2 linked regions of the Rattus norvegicus genome follow. The protein of the gene in region 2 binds, or shares a complex with, the protein of the main gene of each other region. Links are inferred from orthologs where the notes say so. Each region holds a gene or a part of one and is shown on either strand. Other genes may lie near its edges.

The links. Proteins that work in one complex are often made in the same cells at the same time.
Region 1: the proteins of Cdk5r1 (region 2) and Cdk5 are in contact, whole or in part, in a crystal structure (PDB 3O0G), measured with the Homo sapiens proteins. The link is inferred for Rattus norvegicus from reciprocal best matches to the Homo sapiens genes CDK5R1 and CDK5. Residues at the interface, in NP_003876.1 of Homo sapiens: Trp190, Gln193, Thr197, Pro198, Ala199, Phe203, Tyr231, Leu232, Ser235, Tyr236, Met237, Gly238, Asn239, Glu240, Ile241, Ser242, Tyr243, Pro244, Leu245, Lys254, Glu255, Trp258, Asp259, Cys261, Leu262, Ile265, Asn266, Ser269, Ser270, Met272; in NP_004926.1 of Homo sapiens: Leu37, Asp38, Glu42, Gly43, Pro45, Ser46, Ser47, Leu49, Arg50, Ile52, Cys53, Leu54, Lys56, Glu57, Val69, His71, Leu76, Arg120, Asn121, Val122, Leu147, Arg149, Ala150, Phe151, Gly152, Ile153, Pro154, Arg156, Cys157, Tyr158.

What each region holds. Positions count from the first base shown.
Region 1 is NC_086022.1:11,645,223-11,650,858, forward strand, and holds the start of Cdk5 (cyclin-dependent kinase 5), read left to right. Parts: upstream 1-1,901; 5' UTR 1,902-1,995; coding exon 1,996-2,032; intron 2,033-2,595; coding exon 2,596-2,684; intron 2,685-2,759; coding exon 2,760-2,827; intron 2,828-2,930; coding exon 2,931-2,991; intron 2,992-3,091; coding exon 3,092-3,148; intron 3,149-4,490; coding exon 4,491-4,586; intron 4,587-4,738; coding exon 4,739-4,813; intron 4,814-4,968; coding exon 4,969-5,065; intron 5,066-5,242; coding exon 5,243-5,312; coding exon of another isoform or gene 5,313-5,358; exon of another isoform or gene 5,359-5,636. UniProt on the Homo sapiens protein: Proline-directed serine/threonine-protein kinase essential for neuronal cell cycle arrest and differentiation and may be involved in apoptotic cell death in neuronal diseases by triggering abortive cell cycle re-entry. Interacts with D1 and D3-type G1 cyclins.
Region 2 is NC_086028.1:65,979,716-65,984,094, forward strand, and holds Cdk5r1 (cyclin-dependent kinase 5 activator 1), read left to right. Parts: upstream 1-2,323; 5' UTR 2,324-2,482; coding exon 2,483-3,406; 3' UTR 3,407-3,501; downstream 3,502-4,379. Other genes in the region: uncharacterized protein Cdk5r1l, read right to left, coding at 1,799-2,323. UniProt on the Homo sapiens protein: p35 is a neuron specific activator of CDK5. The complex p35/CDK5 is required for neurite outgrowth and cortical lamination. Involved in dendritic spine morphogenesis by mediating the EFNA1-EPHA4 signaling. Activator of TPKII.

The sequences.
Region 1 (5,636 bases), on a different chromosome or scaffold from region 2:
CCACCTCCGCGGCCCTCACCCTCCCTCTCCGCCACCTAACTGCTTACCCGCTAGCTCTAGATTTCGTGTCCCGGGGGTCTCCGGGTCTCCCCTGATCCTCCGGAACCCTCGCGCGCTCCCGACGATTTCCCGGTGCCCACCCCGGGGCGCGCCCCCGCCGCTCCCAACTTCTCCCAACTCAACTTTCCCCCGCGCCGGGCAGGCCAGCCTCCAGCGTGCGCGCCCCCCGCAGCGCGCCGTGCGCGCCCCCGGCGCGGCTAGCTGAGAGGCGGAAAGCGGACGCTGAGACTCCGCGACGGGGACGCGCTCCCAGGCACAGCCCGACACCGCTGGCGCGGCACCCGGGCTGTGCCTCCCCCCCACCCGCGGCGAGACTCCGGGGACGCCTTCTCTTGGCTTTAGTGAGCCACCTCTGGGAGGAAAGAAGCCAGCTTCACGTTGGGGATCGAGGGCATGGAGTAGGGCCGGGAAATTGAGACGCAGGGAGCTGAATTACAAATTTTTTGACGTTAAGGTTCTGCAGGGCCCTTTCCCAAATAACACCACTGGCTCCAAGAAAGCCCCGTTGTCAGCCTGAGAGAACGGGGTGGCCGGCGAATGTGAGGAGTAAAGACGCTGGAGTTGGGTGGCCGTGACCCTGAACAGATGGAAAACAAGACAACTTGTTGAAGATTCCTCACTTTCCCTAGAACTACCTCCGGGCCGAATGGAATCCTATTCACAGCCGACACCTTTATTTTAAAGCCCTTTGCGTGTCATCTTGTTTTCTCAACTAAATTATCAATTATTTCAGATAAAGAATTCACTTTATGCGTCTTCAGTCTGCCACGTGGGCAAATCACAATATTGTTTATGCAATAGCACTCAGATTTAAGTGAGTTAATTAACAAAAGGTTAGCGCCTACTCTGGTTCCGGCGCTGAGGAATGCTGTTTGGGGCCATTTTCGCCCGGTTCACAGCCCTCAAGAATGCAATCATGAGACAATTAGAGAGTAGTGCAAGAAAAATCTATAATCAACTCCTTTATAGGGTGAGGTAAAGGCTGCTTGCTGCAAGTGTAGCATCTGTCTGTGGTCTTGTCTGTTGAGGGAAGTAACTGACCTGCCAGTCTTCGTGGGCCACACCCTGGCTGACTCCAGTGGGCCTGCTCTGAATACTGGGATCTGGGGGACACCCAGGCTCCAGTCAGCTGGCCTCGGCATGTCAAAGTGGAGCCGCTGGAGTCCGGTGGGTTTCGAGACGATAAAATGGGCCCAGCAGAAAGAGGGGACTTTGGCGTGTGTCCTTCCACTCAAATCCAGACTCTAACGGGGCACACCTGTCTCGCTGCCCAGCCCTGTGGTCAGCTGGTCCCTGTGAGGTCATCAGCAGTAAGACATCGCTCAGAATCATTCCCCAATCAGTCCTGGGGTCACCAGGTGGCCTAGGGAGAGGTGAAAACTAGTGCTGAAGCTGTGTCAGGAGGTCGCTGGTGACTCAAAACACCCAACCAGGTCAGAGCCGGGCCAACAGCGCTCGGGATCTAGGCCGTCAAACGCAAACTTCAAGCAGAGAGCACCCCACCCCCACCCTCACTGTATTCTGGAACGCGTAGTCCGGGAGCGGCCCTTTTCTGGAAGGCTGTGAGCACAGAAAAGGAATAATAACAAGAGCGGGGCACACTGGGAGCCTCCGCGCCTTGGCGGAGACGCCCGAAAAGCGGACACGCGATGCTTCCTGGGAGTTGAAGTTTAAGGTTTGCCTCCGCGATGGAAACGAGTCCCTGGAGTTGAGCGCTGCAGAGAGCCCGAGCGCAGCCTGTTGGGCCTTGTAGTCCGCGTGCCTTCCGCCACAGGCAATCTTGGGAAACATGGCCGCCCCGGGACTACAAGTCCCAGATGCCAGTGCGTGGTGAGCGAGTGGGCGGGGCTGGAGCTTTGGGTACCACCTCCTCTGCAACGCCGGGGCCGGGAGTCTTAGAACCGAGGGCCCGCAGGGGTCCCCGTGGCCGCTGCGATGCAGAAATACGAGAAACTGGAGAAGATTGGGGAAGGTAATGGAACCACGAGATGTTCCTGCAAGGTCTTTTTCTGAAGACCCTACTTGCAGTCCCAGCTCCCTTACCGTCAGCTATGCCTGCAGGCTCCGACCTCAGCACTGGCCAAAAGCCCTGGCCGCTGAGCCCAACACCCAGTGCAGAAACCAACCCTTCACCCTGTGTTAGCATCTGCGGCAAACTCTTGCTCTTAGCCTTAGCAGTCTCTGTGGACCAGCCTTCCTAACCGCGGCACTTCCTGCATTTCTCATCCCTAGCCTCAGCATCACTTGCAAACCTCACCTGGAATCCCTGCTTCAATTCATTGCAGAACCTCCAACCTTAACATTCTTGCAGGCCATCATTCCTCTCCTAGGTGACTCCTTGCTACTTCCCGACCCTACCCCCCACCCTGGAGCTTATGACAGATTCTCCCTGCAGCTGAAGCCTTGCGCTCTTTTAGGCACCTTCCCCTTGACATCCTCGCTCATAAAACTACTCTGGCCTTTGCCCTGGAAACCTACCCTTACACACTAAGATATTGAGAAGGATCCGCTTCCTCATCCCCGACCTTCCCCTAGGCACCTACGGAACTGTGTTCAAGGCCAAAAACCGGGAAACCCATGAGATTGTGGCTCTGAAGCGAGTCAGGCTGGACGATGACGATGAGGTAGGCCTAGGGCATGGGAGGGGTCTAAAGCCTATCTTGGGCTGTGTGTGACTACTACCCCCTTGCATGTTGTAGGGTGTGCCAAGTTCAGCCCTCCGGGAGATCTGTCTACTCAAAGAACTGAAGCACAAAAACATTGTCAGGTAAGGTCTGTTGGAGAAGGTTGAACCTCCTCATTAGACTGGGCTGGTATTGGGATGTTAGAGGCCAACTTGGGGATCTGGTTAAGCCTTTCATTTTCCGTAGGCTTCATGATGTCCTGCATAGTGACAAGAAGCTCACATTGGTGTTTGAGTTCTGTGATCAGGTGAAAGAGGGGCTTGGGGGGATATTAATCCTGGGAGGGTGTAGGAGTCCAAACTAAGGTTGAGCTCTGCCCTTTTCTCCTCATTACCACCTCTATTTAGGACCTGAAGAAATATTTTGACAGCTGCAATGGTGACCTGGACCCTGAGATTGTGAAGGTGAGGGGAAGGATGTCAAGGGATTCGTGGTGCCTGGGTGTGTTTATATAAAGTTATCAGCACTCTTGAGTGTCAGGTTGGGGGCTAGGGTCCCAGACGAACCCTGTTCCTGCTCACTAAGGACTACCTGTCTTGGTGAACGTTTTTAATGTGGTCACCTTTGACTTGCACAGACAGTATCTGATTTCAGTGATGTCATTTGCACTCCAGAGATGAGACATAAGAGAAACTATCTCCTGGATTCAACAAATACCAGGCCTGCACAGTGCCCATACTTCTAACTTTAGCACTCAGAAGGCTGAGGCAGGGCGATCTCAAGTTTCAGACCTGCCTGAGAGGTTTGATGTCTCAAACATCAAAGCAAAATCAAGACAAGGGGGATTGGACAGAAGGTTCAGCAGTTAACGCATATTACTCTTGCAGAAGATGTGAGTTCAACTTCCAGCATCCACCTGAGATAGCTCACAAACACCTGTAACTGCAGACCCCGGGGATCCAGTACCCACTCTTGGCCTCCAAGGGCACCTGCACTCACATACATACCCTTCTCCCATCGTGCATGCATACATATATGCAAACATAATTTAAAAATAAAGTAAATTGAGAGAGAGAGAGAGAGAGAGAGAGAGAGAGAGACCAACAAAATAAATATTTGCTGAAGGTTTTGCTGTGGACCAGTCACTATTCTAGGCCCAAGACTAAAAAGTACCTTGGCCCAAGTTCCAGGGGAAGTGGGCCCTGAGTAATACTATAGCTTTGTATTTGTGTTGATGCTTATGGTGTGTGTGCCCACTTGCAGCCGTGTAGGGGAGACCAGCATGGACTGGGAGCACAGGAAGGTTCACCAGAAAGCTGTGAGAAGCAAGGACAACTTGGTTACTGTTGTACTGCCCCCCGACCCCCAGTACCTGCAAATCAGATTCTCGAAAGTAACTGATGAGAGGCTGAAAAGGTAGCTCAGTTGTTAAGAGCCTTGTCCAGACCCCGGGCACTTGGGACAGTGGCAGGTACATCTCTGAGGTCAAGGCCAGTCTGATCTACAGATGGAGTTTCAGGACAGCCAGGGCTATATAGAGAAAACCTGTCTCAAAAAACCAAAACAGTAACATAGAACACTTGATGTTCTTGCAGAGGACTCTGTTCCCAGAATTCACATTGGGTGGCTGACAACCGCCTGTAACTCCAGTTCCAGGGGACCCTACCCTTTCTTTACGCTTATGTGCATGCGTGGGCGTGCATGCACACTCGTGTGCACACACACAATGAACTTCTCCGCTTGCTGCCAGTCACATGGGCTGTAGGGCAAAGTGGGTCTGACTCCGTTTCCCTTACCTCCCTCCAGTCACTCCTCTTCCAGCTGCTGAAAGGCCTGGGATTCTGTCACAGCCGTAACGTGCTGCACAGGGACCTGAAGCCCCAGAATCTGCTCATTAACAGGGTATTGCTCTGGGAACAGGGCGCGAGAAATCAGAAGCCGGAGCCAGGGGTGGGGAAGCACTGAGGGAACAGGGTGGGGAGAAGGAAACTGGAGCCTACCCCGAACCATTTAAAAGCCCTTCCCCATGTTCCCTTTGTGTTATCTCCCCTCAGAATGGGGAACTGAAATTGGCTGATTTTGGCCTGGCCCGAGCCTTTGGTATCCCAGTCCGCTGCTACTCTGCTGAGGTGAGCCTGGGAAGTGGTGTGTGAGGTTGAGGGAGGGAGTCCCCCAGTGGCTTCTCTACACCACATCATTTCCTCTGCTCTCTGAGCCTCCTTCTGGACCTCCCTCCAGCTCTCTAAGTGGGAGGGGGGATCCCTGTGGGTGGGGTCTTCTCCAGGTGGTCACGCTGTGGTACCGCCCACCGGATGTCCTCTTTGGGGCCAAGCTGTACTCCACGTCCATCGACATGTGGTCAGCCGGCTGCATCTTTGCAGGTGACACATTGGGGTTCTGCGGAGGTACTCTCTTTCCCAGTTGGGGTAACAAAAAGGGTCTAGAGGATCTCATGAAGGAAGGGAGAGGGAGCTCTTGGGGCTGGGACTGGAAGGCATAGGGGCACCTCAGAATGATGGGTCCTACATGTACTGTTCTATCCCTGTTTTTTCCTGCAGAGCTGGCCAATGCAGGGCGACCTCTCTTCCCCGGCAATGATGTGGATGACCAGCTGAAGAGGATCTTTCGATATCCTCCCAGTGCCCCTAGCCTACGCTCCTTTACCTCTTTGTAGAAAGGAAGTGGGCGTAGAGCCTAGAGCAGGGGTGAGGGTTAGCCATTGCTTGCCCTTCACATTGTCCTTGCATGGATGGAGTCACTGTTGAGAGAGGTGGCCTGTTGGTAAGGACGGCACTCCTGACAAAGCCATTAGAAGTTGTTTCAGTAAGCCTTAGGAAGAAACAGCGTTCTTGGAGAGAAATGACTTGTTTGTTAGGACCACAAGCATCAGGGGTCGGGTTTTCCTACTCAGCTGTAAATACTATAAAATGGGGTTCATCTCAGGCTGGGCTG
Region 2 (4,379 bases):
TGACATCCTGTTCTGCAGACGTGACTTTGTCCTTGGCAACACAAGGAGGCTGGAGTAGTTGACAGAGGTTTTTGAAGGTAATGGGATAGGGTTGGCCAGACAGAAGACAAGAGAGAACATGTATGCAGCCATGCTGGAAAAGGCCAATGAACTCCAGGATGCATTGTAAAAGCTGGAATTCAGTTGCAGGCAACAGCAGGTTCAGGTTTTTTCTAATGGGTGGATTGCAGCCTTCAGAGGCCTGTGTATAATTAGGGAAGTAGAACACATTTAACTTTTGCTTAATCCTAGAATTCGAAGGGGACCATAAACATGAAGTCAGCTCAGAGGCTGGTTTTTAGCGGTTGCCTTCCCAGGTAGAAGCATTGGGCCAGGGGGTCTGAAAGACCCTAGGAAGACGACTTACAGCTTAACTATGATGAAAAGGAAGAGACCCAGGGCAGCTCCATTGGAAGAGCAGCTAGGGCTGTTAAGTCGGACCCATGAGGCTTGGTTTCAACGTCAGTGTTGAGGGCGCTCTTGGAGAGGTTTTTCTTTGGAGCTGGTGTGGTGGCTCATGCCTGAATGCCAACAGTGAACACTGAGGCAGGAAAATGGCAAGGTGCTGGCAGCCTGTGTTTCAAGGAGAGGTTCTAAGTCATGGACTAATTTCGAGCAGGAAGGGGTTAACGAAAGCTCCTGCTAGCAGTTGTTAGAAAGACTGTGTGGCACCTGCCCTCATTCCCCCAAGTAATTATTCTCCCCCTTCCCGGTGTGAGTTGAAGCCTCGATCTCCCCATAGCCTGCTCTACTACTGGATCTGGACCATACTCCAGAACTGTGAGCTAACACTTCATTATTTTATTTATAGGTTACCCAGTGTCAGGTGCTGTGTTCTAGTAATAGCCAGCAACCATTTGTTCTATGAGAAACATTGTTAGGGAGGGGCCACAGCGAAGCTAGTCCCCCCTCCCCCCCGCCCCTCCCCCCCCCGCCCCGGTACAGCGCAAGGCATTTTCCATTCTGATCACCCCATCCCTAAATCTTTCTGCTCGTGTTGGCTGAGAAGTCTTTGGGTACAAAAAGAAACTGGCACTTTCTAACTTGGAAGTACTTCACCTAATGACCTCAACAAGATTCTTGTTTTGGGTAGTTTGCTCAACCGTTGCAGGTGTTGTCAGGAATTCTCTTAGGTTCGGAGTTGGGAGTCTGAGTTAAGATACAGGTTGGCTTGTTTGACAGTATGGGTCTCCAGAACCAGTCCGAAATGAGTGACTTGTAAATAAGCAGTGGCCTTTGTGAAGGATATGGAGGCTGCTTGTGAACTATGCGTCGCTAGTCAGAACCAGATTTATTTATTTACGTATTTAATTTTGCAATTTTACTGTCATCAAATTTTAAAACGGGCAAATGAGAGACTGGCCTGAAGGCGCAGCAGCTTTGATTTTTGACAGCTGTCCTGACGGGATCTCTAGGCCGCCCTCGCCCTTCTGGCCTGGCTTTCTAGAGTCATGATGGGTGCCGGGCCTTTACGCCGATGCGGGATGCGGCTTTCCCTTGTGGGAGCCCCGGCCAGCTCCACAACGCCCGCAGCCTCCGCTGAGGGGGCCGCGGCGGGAACAAAGGCAGCACGTGTCTGGGCGGGGCCGCCCTCCGCCCCGCCCGCTCGCCCGTTCGCCCGCACGCCCAGCGAGCTCCGCTGCGCGGCTCCGGGGCTCAGGAGGCCGGGCTGCGCCGCGCGGCGCCGGCGGCTTCCAGGTGGAGACCGGGCTTCGCGCGTTCCCGCCGCCCGCGCTGCGACCCGTATGGGGCGCGCCCACTAGAGGCGCCATTGTGCGCCGCTCGCGCTGAAGATGCGAGTGCGGCGAGACTGAGCGGGCTTGTGGACCGCGCGCGCAATCTGGAGAGGCAGCTTGGGGGGCGCTCGCCGGGGCGGGGCGGGGCGGGGCCGGCGGGTGCGCGGCGGAGACGCAGGCGGGGGCCGGGCGGGGGCGGGGCCGCGGCGCCTGCAGAACCTTGGACAGAAGCTGAGAGCCGCCGCCGCCGCCGCGCCGAGCCGCGCCGAGCCGCGCCGAGCCCCGGGGCCGCGGCGCGCATTGCGGAGGGTCTGGGACGCAGCGGCTGCGCCTGCCGCGGGGAGCCTGCCTGCGGGTAAGCCTCCGCGGACCGGGGCCGTGTGCGCGGCCTGGTTGGACGCCTGCGGCGGCGGCCGCTGCGGCGCTTGGCTGGTGCCGCAGTGGAAGCATAGGCTGGGGCTCCACGGGGCCGCAGCCCGGGGGGCTCGGGCCTCGGAAGTGCGGGCGGAGGGGCGCGGCGCGGAGCCCCGCCCGGGGCTGAGAACCATCTTGTTTTCCACGCAGATCCGCAGGGCTACACGCGTCGTGTCCCGGGAGCGCCTCCTTTCTCTCTGCGGCCGCTACAGGCTTGGTAAGCCTTTTTCTCCCTCCGGCCGGCAGGCTGGGCGCGCAGGGGTGCCGGCCCCTGCCGGGCGCGCAGTGGCACCATGGGCACGGTGCTGTCCCTGTCCCCCAGCTATCGAAAGGCCACACTGTTTGAGGATGGCGCGGCCACCGTGGGCCACTACACGGCCGTGCAGAACAGCAAGAACGCCAAGGACAAGAACCTGAAGCGGCACTCCATCATCTCGGTACTGCCTTGGAAGAGGATCGTGGCGGTGTCAGCGAAGAAGAAGAACTCCAAGAAGGCGCAGCCCAACAGCAGCTACCAGAGCAACATCGCGCACCTCAACAATGAGAACCTGAAGAAGTCGCTGTCGTGTGCCAACCTGTCCACGTTCGCCCAGCCCCCGCCGGCCCAGCCGCCCGCACCCCCAGCCAGCCAGCTTTCTGGCTCCCAGACTGGGGTCTCCTCTTCTGTCAAGAAGGCCCCGCACCCTGCCATCACCTCCGCAGGAACACCCAAACGGGTCATCGTCCAGGCGTCCACTAGTGAGCTGCTGCGCTGCCTGGGTGAGTTTCTCTGCCGCCGGTGCTACCGCCTGAAGCACTTGTCCCCAACGGACCCCGTGCTCTGGCTGCGCAGCGTGGACCGCTCCCTGCTTCTGCAGGGATGGCAGGACCAGGGTTTCATCACACCGGCCAATGTGGTCTTCCTCTACATGCTCTGCAGGGATGTTATCTCCTCTGAGGTGGGCTCGGACCACGAGCTCCAGGCTGTCCTGCTGACCTGTCTGTACCTCTCCTATTCCTACATGGGCAATGAAATCTCCTACCCGCTCAAGCCCTTCCTGGTGGAGAGCTGCAAGGAAGCCTTTTGGGACCGTTGCCTCTCAGTTATCAACCTCATGAGCTCCAAGATGCTGCAGATCAATGCTGACCCACACTATTTCACACAAGTGTTCTCTGACTTGAAGAATGAGAGTGGTCAGGAGGACAAGAAGCGACTCCTCCTGGGGCTCGATCGGTGAGCCCCTGTAGCTGGTATCCTGGCTCAAGGATTCCATTCGTTTTTAAAATTTATTATTAAAGAATCAAGTTTTGTGTACAGTATGTGTCTAGCAGAGCCACCAAGGGCCTCTTCCCACGTTCTTTCCTTGGGTTTTTTTTTTAGCCCTTTCAAGAACTCTGGGGACTTTCGAACTGATGAACCTTGTGGGAACCCAGAAGATGCATTCAGAGCCACCTCGGCTGCTGACCACTCTCTTTCCGGGGCTCAAGGGACTGACTCGTCTACGTCACCTGTACCCACGATGGATCCAGGGTAGATGAGGCTTCCCGCTGTCCCATGATCTGAGCTGAGCCCCGAGGCTGGTGGCCCAGGAGGAACCAGCCCTTTTCTGGGTATTGTTTCATTCTCTCAAAGGCTCCTGCAGCCAGCCGTTCTGGTGTGGCAAGATCTCCACTGCCCCGGGGCATCAGTGAAGGCGCCTGGGAGTGGGTCTGGTGCAAAGATTGTTGGTGACTGTTGGCCGCGCACGGCCCTGGTCTGCTGCTTGCTGTTCAGAGAGAAGGGCTTTCTTTCCTTTCCTGGCAGGATGGAGCTCCCTCCCCGTCCTTTTGTCTGTGCTCCACCTTAGCACTGGTTAATAAGCTGGTTTGCTCATTAGATTCCTCTCCCACTTTGGGTCCCAGCTAAGGGATGAGGTGAAGCCAGGGGCAGCTCCTCTCCTGAGTGAGCTTTTCATTTGAACGACACACTTCAGTCACCCTGTGTAAAAAGCCAGGACAGCGCCAGGGACCCACTAGCAATGCTGCCTCCTGGGCAGGTGGGTGTCTATGCCTGAGATCAAGTTGGTGCCCACTTACATGCTAAGGCCTCTTGCTGGTGCACATGATACTTGTCCTACATCCCTGGGGAAAGTCGAGATGGGGTGAAATGGCATTGCTGTCTCCCACCCCGTCCCTAGTTAATTTTAAGCCGTTTCCAGGCAGTTCAGTTTC